3 linked regions of the Kluyveromyces lactis genome follow. The protein of the gene in region 2 interacts with the protein of the main gene of each other region in a biochemical or structural test. Links are inferred from orthologs where the notes say so. Each region holds a gene or a part of one and is shown on either strand. Other genes may lie near its edges. The genes, in order: TUB2, STU1 and SLK19.

The links.
Region 1: the proteins of STU1 (region 2) and TUB2 form a complex in vitro, tested with the Saccharomyces cerevisiae proteins (2 studies listed by BioGRID, with this or other methods). The link is inferred for Kluyveromyces lactis from reciprocal best matches to the Saccharomyces cerevisiae genes STU1 and TUB2.
Region 3: the proteins of STU1 (region 2) and SLK19 form a complex in vitro, tested with the Saccharomyces cerevisiae proteins (2 studies listed by BioGRID). The link is inferred for Kluyveromyces lactis from reciprocal best matches to the Saccharomyces cerevisiae genes STU1 and SLK19.

The regions. Positions count from the first base shown.
Region 1 is NC_006040.1:454,756-461,419, reverse strand, and holds TUB2 (beta-tubulin), read left to right. Parts: upstream 1-4,809; coding exon 4,810-6,159; downstream 6,160-6,664. Other genes in the region: SND2 (Snd2p), read left to right, coding at 449-994; Rab family GTPase YPT1, read right to left, coding at 1,310-1,924; PER33 (Per33p), read right to left, coding at 2,682-3,548. UniProt on the Saccharomyces cerevisiae protein: Tubulin is the major constituent of microtubules, a cylinder consisting of laterally associated linear protofilaments composed of alpha- and beta-tubulin heterodimers.
Region 2 is NC_006038.1:1,077,006-1,084,638, reverse strand, and holds STU1 (Stu1p), read left to right. Parts: upstream 1-3,383; coding exon 3,384-7,460; downstream 7,461-7,633. Other genes in the region: OCT1 (metalloendopeptidase), read left to right, coding at 1-510; RIB1 (GTP cyclohydrolase II), read left to right, coding at 1,273-2,187; KLLA0_B12353g (uncharacterized protein), read right to left, coding at 2,362-2,616.
Region 3 is NC_006042.1:63,324-70,390, forward strand, and holds SLK19 (Slk19p), read left to right. Parts: upstream 1-2,643; coding exon 2,644-4,530; downstream 4,531-7,067. Other genes in the region: PEX25 (Pex25p), read left to right, coding at 1-800; TOA1 (transcription initiation factor IIA large subunit), read right to left, coding at 1,206-1,895; KLLA0_F00792g (glyoxylate reductase), read left to right, coding at 5,282-6,463. UniProt on the Saccharomyces cerevisiae protein: Has a role in spindle assembly and stability. Required to ensure a timely exit form mitosis. Essential to maintain pre-anaphase spindle polarity. Associates to the plus ends of the microtubules at the kinetochore and spindle midzone.

The sequences.
Region 1 (6,664 bases), on a different chromosome or scaffold from region 2:
CGGTAATGGTTTTCTAGTGGTTACGTGGGATTCACTGTACAGCTGGAGGGGCGGACTTGCAATTGAAGGCTTTGTGAAGGCTGGAAGTTTGATATAACGTTGGTAGGCTGTCGGTAGAATAGTTATATCGTAGTATATTGTATTCATGAGGCAGTTATCGATCTCTGGATGTTAGTACATCTGGTTTATTTTACAATTCATTATGACCGCATATCGTCTTAATCCTCCGTATATTAATGTGTATATTCAAAATCACGTGACATATATGTACGTTACCCGGATTATAATGACTCGGCAGTTGAAATCTATACGTGAATATATGTTACGTGGATCATCATCAACTATCATTGAAGCAACGGGAAGGTATTAATAGATCAGGTTAATATTCGACAGTACATTTATGTACATCTATCTCTATCTCTGAAGAATCTCACCCACCCATTGTAGAATGGCTGGAAAATCGTCCAAGAAGATTGCTGCAAAGAACGCAGCCATCTTAAAGCAGTTGCACGTACTAGTCGTCGCTATACTATCTTTAACGTTATTGAGGAAATGGTTCAGTAATGGGCTGATTTCAACCCTAAAACCTATTCTTTTCAATGTGCCGATGTTGTTATGTTTATATATTCTCGAACGTACCGGTAGACCAAAATATGAAGTCAGTAACGCTGCGCATGGAAAATATAAACTAGTTAATGAAGGGTTCGATTTGGAATCTGGTGGACTCACTGAATACATGAAAGATATCGTGTATGTTTCCTTGTTCTGTAACCTGGGAACAGTTTTCTTCAACACGATGAAATGGTGGTTCTTGGTATTAGTGTGCCCTGCGTTTATTTTCTACAAGTTGTACTACTTGAAGCAACAGTATTTCCCCGGTGCCTCAGCTTCAAAGGCGGATCTCGCAGAGACAACGCCCGCTGAACCTTCCAAATCAAAGAGACAATTGAAGAGGGAAAAACGTGGTGATAAATCTCAGGTAAGATACCGATAGATTAATGTTAGAGAAGGGGTTGTATATACTATATCCATCATATATCTACGAATACATTCTCTTATATATAGAGAAAGTAAGAAAGAAAGGAATAATGATTGTAATTGAAATTAAGTCTAACTATAATAGGCTCTAAATAGACAACCACCGGCTCTTTCGTTAAAGCTATGTGGGGCAAATGGTGCTTAATGTTGTTTGTGATGTATACGGGATATTAATTCTTCGAAATATGGTAATTATCAGACAGTTCTTAAATTCAGTTCCTGATTTTTCAGACACTTAGTGTATAGTAACATAGCGATGATGCTATCCAATTTAGCAACAACCACCATTGGATCCAGTCAATGATTGGCCCTTTAAGTTGACGTTGGACTTGTCTTCAGCTCTACCATTATCTTTTTGTTGTTTGGCGACACTTTCCTTGATTTGCTTGGTCATGATCAAGAAGGCCTCCTCAACGTTAGAAGAATCTAGTGCACTGGTTTCGATGAATGGAATTCCAATAGAATCTGCGAACTCTTTAGCAACTTCGGTGTCAACCACCTTCTTATCTGTCAAATCGTTCTTGTTACCAACTAGTAACTTCAACACACCAGCTGTACCGAAACGGTCGATTTCTTGCAACCATGTCTTGACGTTGTTGAAGGATTCTTGGTCTGTTACATCGTAAACGATAATTATACCGTGGGCACCACGGTAGTAAGAAGATGTAATAGTTCTGAATCTTTCCTGACCGGCAGTATCCCAAATTTGTAGCTTAACAGTTTTGCCATCTAACTCAACAGTCTTGATCTTGAAATCAACACCGATGGTGGATATATAGTCGTTGGTATAGGTATCATCGGCAAATCTTAACAATAAACAAGATTTACCAACACCGGAATCACCAATCAACAATAATTTGAACAAATAATCGTATTCGGTATTCATTTTTTCTTTGTTTGCTTGTAGTTTATAGCGACTGATACGATTCGACTGTTTGTTAAAAAATATGGGCTCCTTTTGTAAGTTGTGATTGGATGGACTGCGTTGTAAGTTTACAATATTTCTCTATTTTAAACACACCTTTCTGTATCCCTCGTTGTTAATATCTCTCCGTTAAAGAAAATGAGTAAAGGAAGTATAAGATAAAATATGATAACAACCCCAAAATAAAAGTCTATCCTTTAGTTAAGCTTTCAGTAAATATGCAACAGTAACCAGAAAAAAAGCAAGCGTCTTATCAAACCGCATTTGGAATAACTGAAACTATGCTATTGTTGCTTAATAGAATGTATTTCGGTCCAGGTTTCACTGTTTGAATTTTGTTCTCCTGAACGGAAAAGATTCCACAAAAGATTACCATCACGTGACACAGAAATACACAGTGTTGTTGATATAGATCAGTAATGAACCTGTTACACTACACTGAACTATTTCGGACAAGTAATGAAATGGATGAAGACATTACAAAGTTCAGGTAACTGATAGGAATGATTCGTAGTAATCTTTAGGGGAGATGTGAAACTCTACAAAATCTCACAGGATGTAAGATGCGAATGCAAGAATCTTTGCTTGGATGAGTTTTTTCTAAGTTAAGATACATATATATGTATGCATGTGTATATCTAGATGCTCTACTGACTAACTTGCAGGAAGACTCTATGAATGAACTTAAGTTTCGAGTTTCTAACTGGTTCTAGCGTTTTCAAGCAAGGATTCTATCAAAGAAGACTTTAGCCAAATGTTTAATGCCTAACCATTTGTCCATGAACATAGGCAAACGAGTTGAGATGAAGTTTTCAATCATCATTTGGTTCTGGTTACATAGCAACCTCATTTGTTCACTTTGATTGTATCTTAACTTAAAGAATATAGCGTATGCCCAGATTGATAGAAGTGTGAATAAACTCTTGGCATTGAATGTGATAAGCACAGAGATTAACTGTATGGGCAGCATGAGACACACTTTGCACATCGTTACAAGTTCTGACATCACTGCAGCATGGAAGAAAGACCCGTTGAAATTGGTGATGAAATACGAGATTTTATTTGACAATGAACCTTTTAACATGGGGTTCATTGGAATGAATGGCAATACATTCTCTTTGAAATAATTCAATGCATGGAACAAAGAGTATATAACCATAGATGATTCAGTTTGAGTTAAAGTTTTCCCTCCTGATAGAGAACATATCAAAAGAACAATGGAAAGTGTAAAATATTGTAGGTTATCCAACTGTCTGATCTGCTGTTTTAAATTCGACCACTGGAATCTTAACTGTTTTGATTTCACATATTGGTGAAGCACAATCCCATAACTGATCACTGTGTATAGCATGATCTTCCTGTAATTTGTCTTTACACTTTGTTCTCGGAATGAGAGCATATATTGGATATAATAGTATAAGCATAACGTGTGACCAAGGAACCAATAGAACTGAGGCTGTTTCAACTTCGTACGGAACACAGCACTCAGAGGGGCTACAGGTCTCTGAGCAGGCCTGTTGCCTCCATTTTGACCGGCAGCATTGGAATAACGATTACCACTGCCATTGCCACTTCCCTCAGACATCTTCTTGAAAAGAAAACCTTTAAAATGAAACCTTAGTAACTAACTCACGAAAGTTCTTTTGGAGACGAGATAATCAACTGCTATTGAGCCGCTAAGTTAAGAGTTCACAATCAACGATGACAAAAACACCTTGAAAAGCTAAATATGTAAACAGCTTTCGTCTTCAATACACAATCAGTTAATCAATTGATAGCCAAAAATATAAGAAAAAAAAAAAAAAAAGAGACCTGCTAACCTGATCCGATTCGATTCGGTTCGAAATAGAATACCGTAGCTTAATCAAAGTAACCTTCCGATTACTATATACATAAAAATGTAGCACTGGACAGATCAATTCCAACTAGTCAAACCCTCTTTCGCTTCTCCAACTAATAGGTTTCCTTCTCTTAACAAACTGTACTGGACGTTTTTTCCCTCTTTAAATTTCCTAATCCTGAAATCCGTTTCTCTTTAAATTTTCACATCGTCTTTAAATGTCAGCTAGAATCGAAAGTTAGGGAAAATTGCAGTATTCCAGTTTCCGTATGATTCTATCATATACGGAAAGTCAGCTGTGAAGAAAATGATCCGAGAAAATAGTCTGTTCAGTCTTTGGACTCATGGAACACTTCGACAACTATTCTAAATCTTAGGGGAATGTGTTGCTCACTTGCAACCTCAACTCTTGTCTTTAGATGAACTGACACTACGCAGGAATTCACACATCACAGTCACGTGCAAATCACGCGATGTAAGTTTCCGTTTCCCGTATTACCCGCACACTTAGCAACCCACAAAGGGAAATAGACGTGCTCGAAAATTGCCTAAAGAAGTGAAACAAAGATCAAAATACAAACAAAGATATGAGGAAAGAGAAGGAGGAAAAAAATAAACAAATAAAAACAAATAAATAAACAATTTAAAGTGGTTAAATAAGTGAACACAGACGTGATTGTGAACAGGCTTGCACGGGTTAGAGATAACTTTATAGATAACAGCTGTGAGAACTCGTCTATTTCGATTTGTTAGTTTGTTTGTTTAATATACTGTGGACAAGACTACTATTTTTACCCATATTATATTTCACTTTTTTCTTGTAAAGGACAGAGAGATCGCATAATTATTTTTTTTTCTTGAAAGAACAAGGATCAACAATTACTGGATTATAGATACCCCTCGATTGTATCAACACCAAGTCTTTCTACAATTTGCCTGTGCTGTGTTTCTTCAATTGTCATTTTTTGAGATCAGATCAATAACGCGCTCAGAGATATTCTAAAACATGAGAGAGATCATTCATTTGTCCACAGGTCAATGTGGTAACCAAATTGGTGCTGCGTTTTGGGAAACTATTTGTGGTGAACACGGTTTGGATTTTGAAGGTAACTATCACGGTATCGATGATATTCAAAAGGCTAGATTGAACGTTTACTTTAACGAAGCCTCTTCTGGTAAATGGGTTCCAAGATCCGTTAACATTGATTTGGAACCTGGTACCATTGATGCTGTACGTAACTCTAAGATTGGTACTTTGTTCAGACCAGATAACTACATTTTCGGTCAATCTTCAGCAGGTAACGTGTGGGCTAAAGGTCATTACACTGAGGGTGCTGAATTGGTGGATTCTGTCATGGACGTTGTCAGACGTGAAGCTGAAGGTTGTGACTCTTTGCAAGGTTTCCAAATCGCCCATTCCCTTGGTGGTGGTACCGGTTCTGGTATGGGTACTTTGTTGATCTCTAAGATCAGAGAAGAATTCCCTGACAGAATGATGGCTACTTTCTCCGTTGTCCCATCCCCAAAGACTTCAGATACCGTTGTAGAACCATACAATGCCACTCTATCTGTACACCAATTAGTCGAACACGCTGATGAAACTTTCTGTATCGATAATGAAGCCCTTTACGATATATGTCAAACTACTCTAAAATTACCACAACCAGATTATGCGAACTTGAACCATTTAGTTTCAAGTGTCATGTCTGGTGTCACTACATCCCTACGTTACCCAGGTCAATTGAACTCAGATCTAAGAAAATTGGCCGTGAATTTGGTGCCCTTCCCAAGATTACACTTCTTCATGGTTGGTTATGCTCCATTAACCTCGATTGGTGCCCAATCTTTCAGATCCCTATCTGTATCAGAATTGACCCAACAAATGTTCGATTCAAGAAATATGATGGCTGCATCTGATCCAAGAAACGGAAGGTACTTGACTGTTGCTGCATTCTTCCGTGGTAAAGTAAGCGTGAAAGAAGTTGAAGATGAAATGCATAAGGTTCAAACTAGAAACTCGTCGTACTTCGTAGAATGGATTCCAAACAACGTGCAAACAGCCGTCTGTTCTGTACCTCCAAAGGACTTAGACATGTCTGCTACTTTCATTGGTAACTCTACATCCATCCAAGAATTATTCAGAAGGGTCGGAGATCAATTTAGTGTTATGTTCAAGAAGAGAGCTTTCTTGCATTGGTATACTAATGAAGGTATGGAAGAAATTGAATTTTCTGAAGCTGAATCTAACATGAATGACTTAGTAAGTGAATACCAACAATATCAAGATGCTACTGTTGAAGATGACGAAGAATTGGAATTCGTTGACGAACAACCAATGGCTGAAAACTTCGAGTAAAGAATATAAAGGAAAACTTCAGCAGGAAAAAAAAAGGAATAAGGAACAAAGATCAGATGTGTACAGAAGATAAGTTTATCATTTTGAGAGCAGTACCACTGAAAGCAAATTATTTGGACACGAGATAAACAATAAACAATGTACTTCAGAAAGATATTTTCTTTCTTCTTATAGTTTTCCTTTCGTTACTTCTACTATTCTAATACTATTCCCCACACCACTAGTAGAAGCGGAAAATTTCGAAATATGATACCACCCTTACTATAATTTATATGCTTTTTGTTTCTCTGCTCAATGATATGTACTATCAATGTGACCCAAAACATTTCTTTAGTATTTGTTTCTATTTTTTTTTAATAATATCATATCTTACTACATAATTTTAGTCTTCACATTATAATACGTGATTCTTCATGATATATTTGACTCAGATGTCAACACAGTAGTATGTGAATGTTTCAATGACTTATCCTCTTCCCCAGGCCTGATCAATCATTTCACAGAT
Region 2 (7,633 bases):
TCATCCATTTCATCACATTACAAGACTGGTAAATCATTGGACGTCGAAGTGTTGAAGAATCATCAATTGGAAAACCAGTTTTTACAGAACTGTGAAACGTTCTCCCAAATCAAGATGTCATTCTTAGATCAAGAATTGCACAACTTGGATCACACCACAGATGGTTCTATCGATGTAATTGCTATCTATCACAGATTAGAACGTCGTCTAGCAGTATTACCAGATGATCAGAGCAACTGGTGTGGTAAATTTGGTCATCTTTTTGGATACGGTGCTTCATATTACAGTTATCTCTTCGACAGAGCCATTGCATCTAAGATCTGGGATCACTTGTTTGAACAAGATCCATTCAATAGAACCAATGGTACGAAGTTTAAAGAAGGTTTACTACAGTGGGGAGGTTCTCGTGATCCATGGTACCTTTTAAGTCAAGTTCTTGATGAGCCACGACTAGCCAAGGGTGACGAATGGGGTATGAGATACATCGGTGATGTTAAGACTGGTATGTGAACGAAAGACCAGTTATATCTGTTTTGTAACTTAGGACGAGACGAAGATGAGTCTCATCGCACCATGTAAATATGTATGTATATATAACACAAGTACAGGTAACTCAGAAGATATTCCAATCAATGAACTGTGTACAGACAATGTCGATTGCGTCTCCCTCCAAAGAAAATTATTCCGGAGTTCCTTACCCTCGGAAAAACTTGTAAAACGTAAGTTTTACAAGTTTTTCCGAGGATGTCACGTGTGTGGTCGGGTAACGTTAATAATCCAAAATGGAATCGAATGGCACTCTCCAGCCTAAGCGCATAGATAGAGTTCCTTCTATAAAGAGTTCCTATTTACCATGGGGATTGATTGGATTGATTGAAACGGTTCAACTAAGAAAGGTCCCCCCCCCGAGGACGTTTCCCTGACACGACTGAATCCTCTCTCGTTCTTGAACTAACAAGGTGTTAAGATTGAGGGAACAACGGTAGTCAGAAGCTAACTCGAAATCGGACCTGCCATCCCGGAGTAATCTCCCGTCGTCCTTTTCCTCTTTTTTTCTCCATAATCATGGATTTGTCAAATTTGTGTATTTGTCACTTTCCATTGTTAAGACTTATAAATTTCGAATTTGAAATTTGACAAATTCCAAATAGTCATTTCAAATCAAAAGTAATATCCTTTCGTCACATTGAAGGTATTATATATACTGGGTACTCTTGTATTAGATAATTTGTTGAGTTCTCTTTTCTAGCAAACGAGAAGTGTGTACCAGAAATGACCAGCGCCATGTCTGATTTACCAAAAGTTCAGTGTATTGCAAGAGCAAGAATACCCACAGTGCAAGGTCCAGATATCTTTCTACACTTGTACCAGAACGACAGAGACAACAAGGAACATCTGGCTATAGTCTTCGGAGAGAATATTCGGTCCAGGTCGTTGTTCAGGAGAAACGCAGGCGAGACGCAGGAAGAGCGCATGATTAGAGGCGCATACGTTGGAAAATTATACCCTGGCCGAGTTAAAGCAGATGTGGATGAGAAACAAGGACTCTCACTTTCATTCGATGAAAAGACTGGAGAACTCGTAGTGGAGCCTAATACGACATGGTGCGACAAGGATACGCTAGTCAGAATTCATTCGGAGTGTTACACTGGAGAAACGGCGTGGAGTGCGAGGTGTGATTGTGGGGAACAATTCGATAGAGCAGGGAAACTGATCTCTGTGGAACGTGAGGGTGATATCGTTGGAGGCAACGGCCATGGTGTAATCGTATATTTAAGACAAGAGGGCCGGGGTATTGGGCTCGGAGAGAAATTAAAGGCTTACAATTTACAGGACCTTGGTGCAGACACAGTGCAGGCCAACTTGCTGTTAAAACATCCAGCAGATGGTCGGGATTTCTCCATAGGTAGGGCAATACTAATCGATTTGGGGATCTCAAACGTCAGATTACTTACGAACAACCCGGATAAAGTAGCACAAGTGGAACAGGCGCCATATCTACATTGCGTCGAGCGTGTTCCAATGGTACCCTTGTCGTGGTCTGGTAACCATAAGGATGGGATCCATTCAAAGGAAATAGAAGGCTATTTGAGAACAAAAATCGAAAGAATGGGCCATCTCTTACAAAAACCATTAACGCTACATACAAATAATGATACAAACCACCAATCTACTCCTATTGCCTGAGGTTTTGAGGAAACCTAAATACAACACACATAGTATACCACATATTAATAAGTTTTCCAATCAGAAAGTACATTAAAATAAAAAACCTTGTACACACGTACATGTATATATATATATATATCTAATTGATTCTATCAGCGGATACTTCCATCAATTGATGAGATACACACCCTTCTAATTCTCACCACTTAGTGCCAAAAGATAATCCTTGGCTTCACCAGAAACGGTAGCAAGCACCTCGGAATCGTTCAACACGTAACCAACACTCTTATCCTCACTCAACTGAGTGGTCACTTGGTTCTTCAACTTCTTTTGCTTAGCAATGAAATCTTGATACCCCTTAATACTAGTCAACTCTACTGGCGCACTATTCAAGAAGGATCCAGTAGAGTGTGTCATATTCATCCCATTCAACTTATACATAGACATCTTTGGTAAATTTTTGTAATTCTAATTGATAATTCGATTCTAACTCTGCGATACGTAATAGCTTTACGTGGTACTGATTCACTTTATAAGTTTCAGATCCCGATTCTTTAAACAGATAATAACTATCTTATACCTCTGAAACGGATGCTAACTTAACTGAGAATTAAACTTAGAGTATTGAAAACGCAATTAATAATAATAATATATATATATATATATATATATATATATATATATACAAATCAAAGGAAACAGAAAACGTAAGCAAAAGAGACAGACACCTTTACTTAATCTGATCCTAACTTATTGCATGCATCATCGTTACCATAGTTGATGATAAAATCAAAAAGCACTGCATCGGTAATCGTAATCATGGAAAAGGGAAGAAAAAGGAAAGAAAAAGTCGAAGAAGCAACGCAAACGAACACAATGGGCCAGGGACTTTGATTGTGTAAGGTGCGAGTCACGTGAATGCACGTGACCTATATTTTCTTCCCATCATTTGTGGTGTTTTTCCTCTTTTGTGGAAGTGGCTCAGAAACAAGCGTACCACACGGCTTTCAATTTGTTTACCAATAACAGAAATCTCTAAAGTATCAATAATGGAAACACATTGTTAAACAAACTGGATCATAAATTGTAGACACATCTATACCGGATTATCACACTGGATCAACTACCTTTTACCGCTACTAAGTGTTTAACCTAGTTTTTCTCCTGCTGTTAATACAATTGTGATCCTCTTCAAACAGAAGATACAGGTTTACATGAGTGACGAGTTTAATGGGTTGGACGGTTTGTCCGATGAGCTTTTGTCAGCTGAGAGGAAACTGGATATATTGACCCAGTTCAAGGCTCATGTGAAGAAGACTTTGGTCAATGAGCAAGTGTGTGTGAAATATTTCGAGAATTTAAGCAGGTTACTGGTGGAACGAGGCTCAAATAGGCGACGTGGTAACGATGGAGATGACGTAGTGTTCGCATTAGCTCATTCAGCTCTGTGTTATTTGATTAAACGTGTTGCAATGCAAGCACAACATAAGTTCCAGCATGATCTTATCGAGCTAATCGTTTCGACTTTGTTCAGTATACCTTTTGCAGATAAGAAAGTCTGGCAAAGTTCCGTGAAGGCATTGGAAGCTATATATTTGGCAAAGCCTAATGAGTTTTGTCAGGTGTTGAACGAATCAATAGCGTATAATGGATCCATACGCACGAACGTGTTGTTGCTAATCGATGAGTTGGCAAGAATGGAATCGAGCAACGGGAGAAACGGTTCGATGTTCTTGCAAAAATTTATACCATTTTGGGTCCAAGAGATGAACACCAATGATTCGATATCGAATACAGACATAGAGTTGATATACGATATCGTAGCCAACCGATGCCCCGAGCCTATGGTACGAAGTATGGTCGATTCAGTGATTCGAGAAAGTGCAGCGAAAGTTTTCAAGTCTCGTTTGGTGGGGAAACTTAATAATCATGGCTCCGAGAGCGATATGAAAGATGATTTTGATAGGTCTATCACCCATACAAATAGCATTAATTCCCAAGTTTTCAACTTACAAAATGAATTACAATCCATTATGCATCAGGCGCCGCAATTTCCCACGGTACCTGCCCCAGAGCCAATCTCATACAGCAACTTGAGTTATCTTATAAAAGATTTGGAGTCAATGCTACCAGCGTTTGAAGGTTCAAGGGAAACAGAACAGAATTGGAAAATTAGACAGACAAATGTTACCAAACTTCGATCCATTGTCTTAGGAAACGTTTCCATTGAATTCCCGGACAAATTTTTAGAACTATGGAAAGATCTAAATTTACAATACTGCGTCACTAAATCGGCCCTTTCGTTAAGAACTTCTCTTTGTACCCACGGTTGCAGCTTGGTGAAAGACCTTTGCTGTGTTTTCAATTCCATGTTGGATATCTCAATTATCGAAAACCTTTGGTCATGCCTTGCCAAATTGATGTCAAATACCAAGAAAATCGCCAATCAAAATGCGTTTATTTGTCTCATAACGTTACTATCTACTGTCCCATTCCATTCACGACTATTCAATCACTGTTTTGCGTTAATCAGAGATAAAAATAACGTATCAAGGCTATATTCTTCCACTTTCCTCAGAATTCTAATAGTAAGGTTCCATAAGAGGTTGATATCGCAACATCATGTCTACGTCGAGGAATGGTTGCAAAAAGGGTTAACAGACGCTCAGACAACCATAAGGGAGTCCATGAGAATTACATTCTGGTACTGGTTCAAAGTCTCACCAATGAGTGGCAAGAAAATGCTAAACCTTTTCCAACCTCAGATCAAAAGAGCTCTAGAAAATAGTATTCCTACCCATTTGGATATCAATTATGAGGCAGCTATCCCTCCTCAATCAAAGGAATCGTCAAGAAGGTCAAGCTTACTGCCAAAACGATTCCCCAGTTATGCTGCTCCGACTCAATCGTCCCATTTACCTAGATCGTCAATAAAAAGATCATTAACGGATTTAGCTCAAGGGACGCAATCGTTTAGCAAAAGATCGTTACGTACACCTCCGGATCATGATATGAATATTGATTTAACAAGTGAGTTGACAAATTCACAAACAAATCCGTTGTTGAATCGCTACATGAAGAGAGAAGAGGTTGAACCAGAACCTCTTCATGTCATTTTATCCAAGGACCCTAAACTGGGATTGGATTTACTACAAAAGTATTTATTATCGGATACCAAAATCGGCGATGAAGAGAAGGTCCAATCTGCAATAGTGTCGTTGATAAGAACTAACCCCAAAGCCTTCAAACCCCTTTTGCATTTACCAAAATTCTACCAACTGATTCCTTTAAATTTTTCTATGGTTTTATTGCCATTAAATGACCTCGATATCTCGATGATTGAAACTCAATTCAAAACATATGATATTATAAACAATGTTATTTCAATATTACAATCATTGGAGGATAAAAACTCTGAATGGTCTATATTTTATGTGCGATTCAAATATCAGATATACAATTTCTGTTTCAATACTATAGCAAAAATGCTCAATACGGTTACCCTTTCAGATCAACTGATAAACGAATTAATTAATGCTTGCGGAAAAGATATGGATGCCGAGAAATATTATAAGTTAATTTTAAACATCTATCTTGCAGATAAAACTAAATTCGTACGTTTATTGAAATCAACATCGACTGCATCAACTAAATTGAAAATCGCCAATGTTATTCAGAAAAAAGATTCAGAGTTCAAAATAAAAAGCATATTGAATTATCCTTCAGTGCCTGAACCTATAGTTTCTCCTGAAGAACATCATTTACTTGAAATGACCATGGTAAATCCATTGGGCAAAAGAACTGTCAGCTCTAATACAGTTATACATAACTCACTGGAAGGTTTAGACGAAAGTGAAAGTAATCCTAATATCATTGCTGACGAAGACAACCACTCAGAGAAGGAGGACCTTGTTACGGTGCCACCTGTTGCCAAAAATTCTGTTAACACTGTATCTTTTGTAGCAGATTCGCCTTCTGATTCAGATAATGACGACACTAAAAAAAACGGATCAGATGTTGTGGATCATGAAGAAATTAGAGACCATGAAGAGTCACATGGCTTTACAAAGTTTGGAGGATTCTCAAAGTTAACAGAGATGACAAAAGTGCACAGTGTTTTCCAGCCTGAAACAGTGGATGAAAATGTTGATCCTATGGAGGTCGATTCACCTGATGAATCTAATTTGGATCAAAAGTCATTGCTTACAGACATTTTTTTGAAAAATCAACATCAAGAAGGATCAGTATCACCTATATTCAAGCCTCAGGAATTAAATAATGATCCAAGACATGATTACGATTCCGACATGTTAAGTGATGCGATAAATGGCATAGAAATCAAGACAAATGATGGGTCGGTTGCAAATAGATCTGAAGATGATATTAAAACTCTTGGTACTAACATGGGTTCTGTTTCCGACCCCAAAACATTCAAACCTATCAACCTTGCTCATTTTGCCAATGATTCGTTGTTTTCGTTTGAATTGAAATTTATCGATGCTTCCATAGGCATCGTAAATTTGACGCAGCTGAAATTGATAGTCCAGTCGATTATAAACAATGGCACTTTCAAAATGAATGAATTGCAATATATCTTGAAATGTTTCTTATGCTACGATCAAGAGGTCTTAGAATGGATACACGATCAGCACGAACTGAAGGATGTTTGGGCAATAACTGAATTATTACTTTCATCAAGTTCATCAGAATCACAGATTCCTACAAATATTGCATATAAATCAATCATTCTCACTGCTTGTCTACTAACGATTGATGATGAACTTGAGCATACAGTATTGAAAGATTCAAGCATAAGCCAACTGTTCGAACACATTATATCGCTAGTTGCTAAGCTCGATACTTTCGAGAATGAAATATACTTCGCTTGCACCGAACTGAGAACCCTTTTATTGTCTCAAGACAACAACAAACATCTACCGAGCTTCTTGGAGAAATGCTTGAAAGCATTATGCGATACAAAGGAGCAGTACATTGTCAAAATCAGCTTCTTACTAGAGACAATCAATGGTATCATTAGTTCGATGGGCAATTTACTCTCTGTAGATGTCCTACGGGATCTCGCTAAAACAATCTCCAGATATACACCAAGCGATGTTGCTGAGTGGCGATTTGCATCCTGCACCGCTCTTGCTACCATATACAGCCAGTTGATATCCAGAAGCACCCCAGTAGGCTATATACGGTCACTAATGCCTCTGTTGGACCCATCTGACTTCGAAGTCGTCAGGTCGTTATCGACGACGAAAGACGCGACGCGTCGACTGGGCTGAAATATTGCATATCGATATTGTTCAATCATCATTCCATATAAGCATGCAATGCATTTAAGAATATAGATATAGATCGAGTACATAATCCATTGAACAACACCCATTAGCATTCAATTATCTGGGTCCCATTCATTTATTTGAGCTTGAATTTTTAATCTATATTGCTTGATTGA
Region 3 (7,067 bases), on a different chromosome or scaffold from region 2:
TAAGGAATCCAAGGCTTTCAGGTAAACTCTTCTTATCTAGCTCTTCGAAATTATTTCTCGAAAAGGGTGCTTTGGTTAGTAGCCAGCTAGGTTTCTATAGGCAAATCATGAGATGTGGGGGTACCCCATTCAGACTTTACCATTGGTACCAAAAGCTCATAAGCACTTTCTATGCGTCCCAAAAGTCATCAACTTTACATTCTAAAGGTCTAGTTTGGTACAAAAATTGGTGGAATGAGGAATCTCTCTCAGAGTTCATCGACTTATATTACGGAATCATGGATGAATTGATGCTATTATACAAACTTAAACTTTGGTCTAATAAATCGATGCATGCCTGGGTTTCTAAACACGAAGCTCTCTCATGGTATTACGACATTATGCTAGGGTTGAAGAAAAATTGGGAGAAACTTCAATCAATCAAACAACAGGAATTTGAATTGAAGATCCAGTATCAGGTACGTCAACGCGCATTGGAACTATCCTCAAAATTAAATGCCACCCCATCTGTTGATTCCAATAAGAATACAGCACTTATAAAACAGACTATCTTCGAGAGTTTCAAGCAGGACAACCTAGATTTAGAACTGGAAGTAGTACAAAAACTCAAGAACTACCAGTATGAGAAACGCATTGTCAAGTTTGATCTGACTAGACTATTCTTTGATTTCCTAGCTGATACTACAGATGTGTTCTCTATCAAAACACCACCTGGTACATATGCCATTTTGTCTCTATGCTCTGGTGTACTTGGATTCTCCAAGCTATGGATACAGGCGAAAGAGCAACCAAATGAATGAGTAACATACCCTTTGAAAATGTGTACCAAAAATTTCTTAGTACATTTCCCTGTATAACTCACAAGTAACACAAAGTATCAATAAGCTACAGACAGGCTATATTTTAGTGACTTTTGCAATGCTGCTTAAAAGAAGTGCTCAAAGACATATAACTTTACATGGGTACCTGATTAAGATCCGATTTGGACGGCTTTGCAAGCGATATTATATAAATTATTCTATGAATTATATAGTGTCAGAAGGTTAGAGAATAATGAATTAACATCAATAATGATTAGGAGATATGAACATAAACCTCTATGATAGAAAGTAGGATAGAATAGAAAGGAAAAAAAAATATTAACTTTAGAACCTGAAGTAAAGAGAAAAATAATGCAAGGAGACGGAACTAATGGAAATGGATAATTACCATTCACTTTCTCCCTGGGCTTTCTGGAAAGCAAAGTCTTTATGGTCTATTGTCACTACACCTTCTTTTAAATTACACTTCCACTTATTTTTGACTCTCAGCACCTTGTCATATAGACATAGCATCATATTGACATCTGTGCCCTCATCCTCGACGTCCATGTTGACATAGTCGTCATCGGAGTCATCCAAATCAGAATTGATTTCATCGGTTTCTAATAACGCGGATTTCTTGGCTTGCTTTGCTTGTAATTTCAGCTGTTTAGTCAAATCTCCATCTGGATCATTCATAGAGAACTCTATTTCTTGTTTTGGTTTCATTTCATTATCTTCTATTTGCAGTTCATCATTATTCACCATATCTGAGGACCCATTATTTATATTGCTGCCAATGATATCTGCTTCACCGGCACTAGCAGCAGCTCCAGAATGATTTATGGAATTATCGTTGAATTCGCCGTTTGGTAGTTTAACCACAGGCTCGGCAACTGTTGATGCACTGGTTGTATTTTCTGGGTCCCAAATGAATGTGGCGGCTTTGCTTTCACTTAGTTTCATCTGCCAAATTCGTTTGAGATCTTGCAATGTCTGTTCATCCACTCCCGAATCTTCAAATTCTTGTCTGACATCGTTGATAACAGTCTCGAGCACGGTTTCATATACCTTTGATGCCTCGATATTCGACATATTGGAAAAGTACTTGAAGAGTTTCTTCTTTCTCTAATAATAACAAAAGAATTAAAGACCTTATTAAGCCGTTTATTCTAAAAGCTATTCCGATTCCGACCCGGTACTAGAAATTAAAATAATCCTTCCTTTAATCGTTAAACTGAAATCCTTATATAATAGGATACCGTAAGTTAATTTATAGAGGAGGAACTTCAATCAAAGTTCCAAAGTGTTCAGAAAATCAGTTTCAAAATATGGAGAACGATAGCGCTTTTCTCTGAAAAAATATCTATTGCACAGTTTCCACCCAGGTTTAGTGTCCGCTTCACAAGTAGTTCAGCTACTGATGCGGCTGGTTTCCCTCTCCTCATTGACACTCCATATAAGGTATTGTTATTATTCAGATTTAATTTTCCAGTTTCCATTTCACTGAAAAAATAATAATATGAAATTATATATTACCCGGATATCACGTACTCAGCTTAAATATTCAGTGTTCGATATTTATATGGTAAACATAGGCATAGTAAATAAAAACAGTAACAAAGCTTCATTACGATCGATAAGTGTGTTGTCACAAAAGGCCAGATCCATATCGTCGGTGCCACGATCTGAAGTTCAATATTGTATTACTGCTTCAACGAAATCATTGCAAAGCAAGACAGACACCACTTACATAGTTTCAAAGAGGTGCTAAAATTGAGGTTTTGTTGCGCATCCTATCGTTTCTCGGCGGATAAGTGAAGAGAACACGAGTACAGCACCTATGGATTTCGGAGATAAACCCAAGCTAGAGTTTGCTGGCTCTGGTGATAAGCTTAACTCTCCTATAAGATTGGTTCCTGATGAGAGCAACAAGGAAAACGTACACGCATTGGAAAGCGATGATCAACAGAGCGATAAGGAGCAGACCTACAAGAGAAGTAAAATAGAGTACTCATCCCCAGAAAAGATTGAGATGCTTAATAGTTTATCTCCTATAAAAATAGATATCGAAGGAAATGATGGAATTGAGTCTGATTTGAAAAAATCAGTCGCCACAGCCATTGAAGAAGCAGTGCAAGATTTCAAAAAGGATTCAAAAGCGGAAGAAGATGAAGAAGAGGCATTCGGCAAGTTAAATAATGGATTTCGTGGTTATCATGAATCCTCCACTGCAAACGCTTCTGGATCAGCTGGTTCTGATGCACCACAACATGCTCACTGCCATGAGTCATTGTCACCGATAAGGTCGTATGGTGATAAAGAGATGCCTCTCGACCCATCAGACCCCACAGTCTGGGAGAAGAAGTTTGATGATTTATCATCCGTAATATGGGATAAATATGAAGAGATTAAGTATCTCAATGATACTGTACAGAACTTACGAGAAAGAACAGTAGAAGCGGAATTTAATAAAGAGAGAGACAAATTGGAACTTATCAAATGGGAGCAGAAATATGGCGACGTATTATCAAAACTGTATAGGAGTGAGCATAAACTCGAACAGTTTGATGAATTGAAACTCCAATTTGATAGTGTCAGCAAAAAGTTCGAAGCCTGCAAACAAAAATTGAAAGAGGTCAAAATAGAGTTATCTATGACAAATCAGAACAACCACATTCTATCTGAGAAGTTCGAGAAAGAATATACCAAATTCACTGAGAATGAAAACTTGGTCAATGAATGGAAAGATAAACATGATTCTTTACTATTGGAACTTAATGTGAAGACCAAGGAACTCAAGTCAATTACCGATGAGCTACGCTCGTTAAAGGAACAATATGAACGAAACGAAAACAAGTTGTCTGAAGTTGAAAGTGAAATACAGGAGCTGCGTAAGAAAATGGAAGAAGAGACAATTGTATTCCAAGACACAATTAAACCTAGAGATCTAAGTATAACCGAGCTAAACAAAAAATTACAGCAATTTGAAGCAAATGGTTCAGATGAAGTTAGCTCTTTGAAAAGTAAGCTCCAAATCACTGAAGCAGAATTAGATAGTAAGAAGAATGAAATTGAGTCATTGAATTTGAAGCTCAGTACAAAGGAAACAGCATTAGAAGAGCTTAGGTCACATATCACTCAGGTCACCGAGGATAAAGAGAAATCATTATCTGAGTTAGAGCAGACCAAAAGGGACTTAGACTCTCTTACAAGCAGAAACGGCAACATAGAATCCGAACATTTAGCAGAACTAGAAAGATTACACGAAAATATGTCGCATATGGAAACTAATCTGAAGCAAAACGTCAAAACTATCGCTAATTTAAATGAAACTGTCAACAATTTTGAGAATAAATGTAAATCATTGGAAGCAGAAAATATCGATTTGAAAGCACGTCTAACACAGACAGAAACCAATGTTAACAAATCAGAAACGGATGAACTCCGAGCTAAGATCCAGAAATTGGAAAAAATGGTTGCAGATTCAGAAGCAGAAACTAACAAAAAGTTGCAATTATTAGCTGAAGATCTTTACATCCAATACTCTTCCAAACACGAGCAAAAAGTCAAGATGCTCAAGAAAGGGTACGAAGCCAAATACCAAGACCTGTTGGACAAACTAACAGTCGAAAATAACGCATTGCACGACGAAGTGGATCAATTGCAAAAAGCAGTGGAAATAGAGAGAGCGGAAAAACAAGAGCTAATAAAGTCTCTTGACAACTAATGTGTGTGTATATGAGTACGTACCTATTATAGATCAAATATACTCCGGAGAAATCTGGTTTTCTTACTATCTTCTCTTCCATTCGAACCTTTCCGGTGGCAATTATGTATTTGCTTTCGTTTTGTTTTTCCGTTTTCCAGAGACAAGTTCCCGACGCATGCTCTTTCCAGTATGGGACACTCAATTCGTGAGCATTTCGGGATGTTGTGTTCTGCGCCGATCTCAGCCTATAATAGCCGCACTTTACCGAACTACTGATATCAAGGATGACTATGGGGAACAAATTTCTCGAATGAATGTATCCTTTACTAATGACATAACAATGGATTGATTGATAAATAAAAGTGCATCGCGTCCTCTTGTAATTAGCAGTATTTTAGTTATCAATGAAAAACTTTTCGCCTGCGAGGAGTAATAAGATTGCATTTCTGAATGTGGTGTTGCAAATCCGAATGGCACTTTATCGCACTTCAATCGAACCGCGGTCATGGAAATAATGAATCATGAAAAATAAAAAGCTAAGCTTTGACTGTGACAGATTTTTGGAGGTACATTTAATGAAAATATGACTGCTACATATTAGAGAAGACCATGATATGATGTTTCATATATAAACTATAAATACGTAGTCTTCCCTGACGGAATGCATATTCTCACAGAATATTACACCATTGTCACAAGCATTCTACGGCTGATCCGGTTGTCACAGAAAATATCAATTCGAAAGACAGTACAGCGATAGAATATTGTAATGACAATGACTACCAAATTCAAGATTCTCATTCCCAGAAAGAATAAGAACGATATCGCTTCTGACTCAGCAGAATTCCAAAGAATTGCAGAATTAGTTGATTTCCAATATTATGAATTGACCAATTCTGAAGATTTCAAGAAATTTTTACTCTCAAGCAATATCGATGCTCTTTGGATCACTGAAGAAATGTTTGTGTATTTGGAAGCTCCATCCACGTATTTAGACTATTTCCCTAAATCATTGAAATTGATTTTGGTTCCATGGGTTGGAACAGATTTCTATGACGCGAAATTGTTGAAGGAAAAGTACGGCATCAGTTTGTGTAATGGCGGTCCAGTGGCATCAGAAAACGTTTCTGATTTGGCAGTGTTCTTGACATTGAGTTGCTTCCGTTTGACGTCCTTCTGGGAGCACTCATTCAGGTTTGTTCATAGAGGTAGCATCCAAGAATGTCGAGGATATATCGGAGGTACACACCATGATACTATTCCTGGATTTGCGCTGGTTGAAGGTAACGATGACTTGCATAAGACGGTCTCTGCGCAACAAAAGTTCCCAAAAAAGCCTGAAAACGACAAGTTCTTGAACCTTGCGAAGGATTATAAGATAGCGGGCAAAGTAATGGAATCACCAACAGATAAGAATGCGTTGATTGTTGGTTTTGGTTCCATTGGCCAAGCTATTGGTAAAAAATTGCATACAACTTTTAACATGAATATATCATACACAAAAAGAAATGGCCCTATCCCAGAATCTGTTCTAGGATATAAGGCTAATTATATACCATCCATGGATGATGAAGCGTTCTGGAGAGACGCTGATCTTATAGTACTAGCATTACCTGGAACTCCAGACACAGAAGATATTATTGATAAGACTACATTGGAAAAATGTAAAGACGGTGTGCGTATCGTCAACGTTGGTCGTGGATCTTGTATTAACGAAGATGATTTATTAGATGCATTGGATAGTGGGAAGGTCATGTCAGCTGGCCTTGACGTCTACAAAAATGAATCGGACGTTGTGGATTCAAGATTCTTCGAAAGATGGGATATTACCTTACTTCCACATATTGGCTCCACAGTCATAGAAATACTCCAAAGGCAGACTGCTGCCACGTTAGAGAATATTGAAGGATTCTTCTTGAAAGGAACTGGCACAAAATACCCAGTTAACTAATGTTCTGAATATCTTCAAACTGGCGCTGGAAATGTTGGCTAACAATGATGGAAATATTACTAAAATGAGATGAAAAGTGTATTGATACTGCATAACCACCTTGATATCAACCACTCTTTGAGTTTTGAAGGCCTACTCGTTAAATAATAATAAATCCGAATATATACTGCATTACATAATCCAAGGCGGGGATCAACATTCATTAATTAACTGCTCCCAGCAGGCGTTCTTTCTAAGAACAGAGACTGTTGGCTGGTCGATTATAACATCTACAAAAGATCCAACTCATTATTACCGCCAACTCGTAATATATCCATCTCTGACAGAAGTCACTAAACGCGTTACAAGCCGTCTTCCCTTCGGCTTCCCTTTTATGTCAAGGACATTAAATTTTAGAAACCGTGAAAAATTGAATATCGCGTATCAAAGAATATTTTTCATAAAAGCTACTTTAATATCGTAACGTGTTTATCATTCAAATAGCGTCGTGATAACTTGAACCCTATTTATCAAACAGTACCTAGTATCAGTATCTGAGGTCTACGGAGTGATATATTCTTCAATTTTAGATTTTGCTGGTAAAGTTTGGGGTACAATATATGAA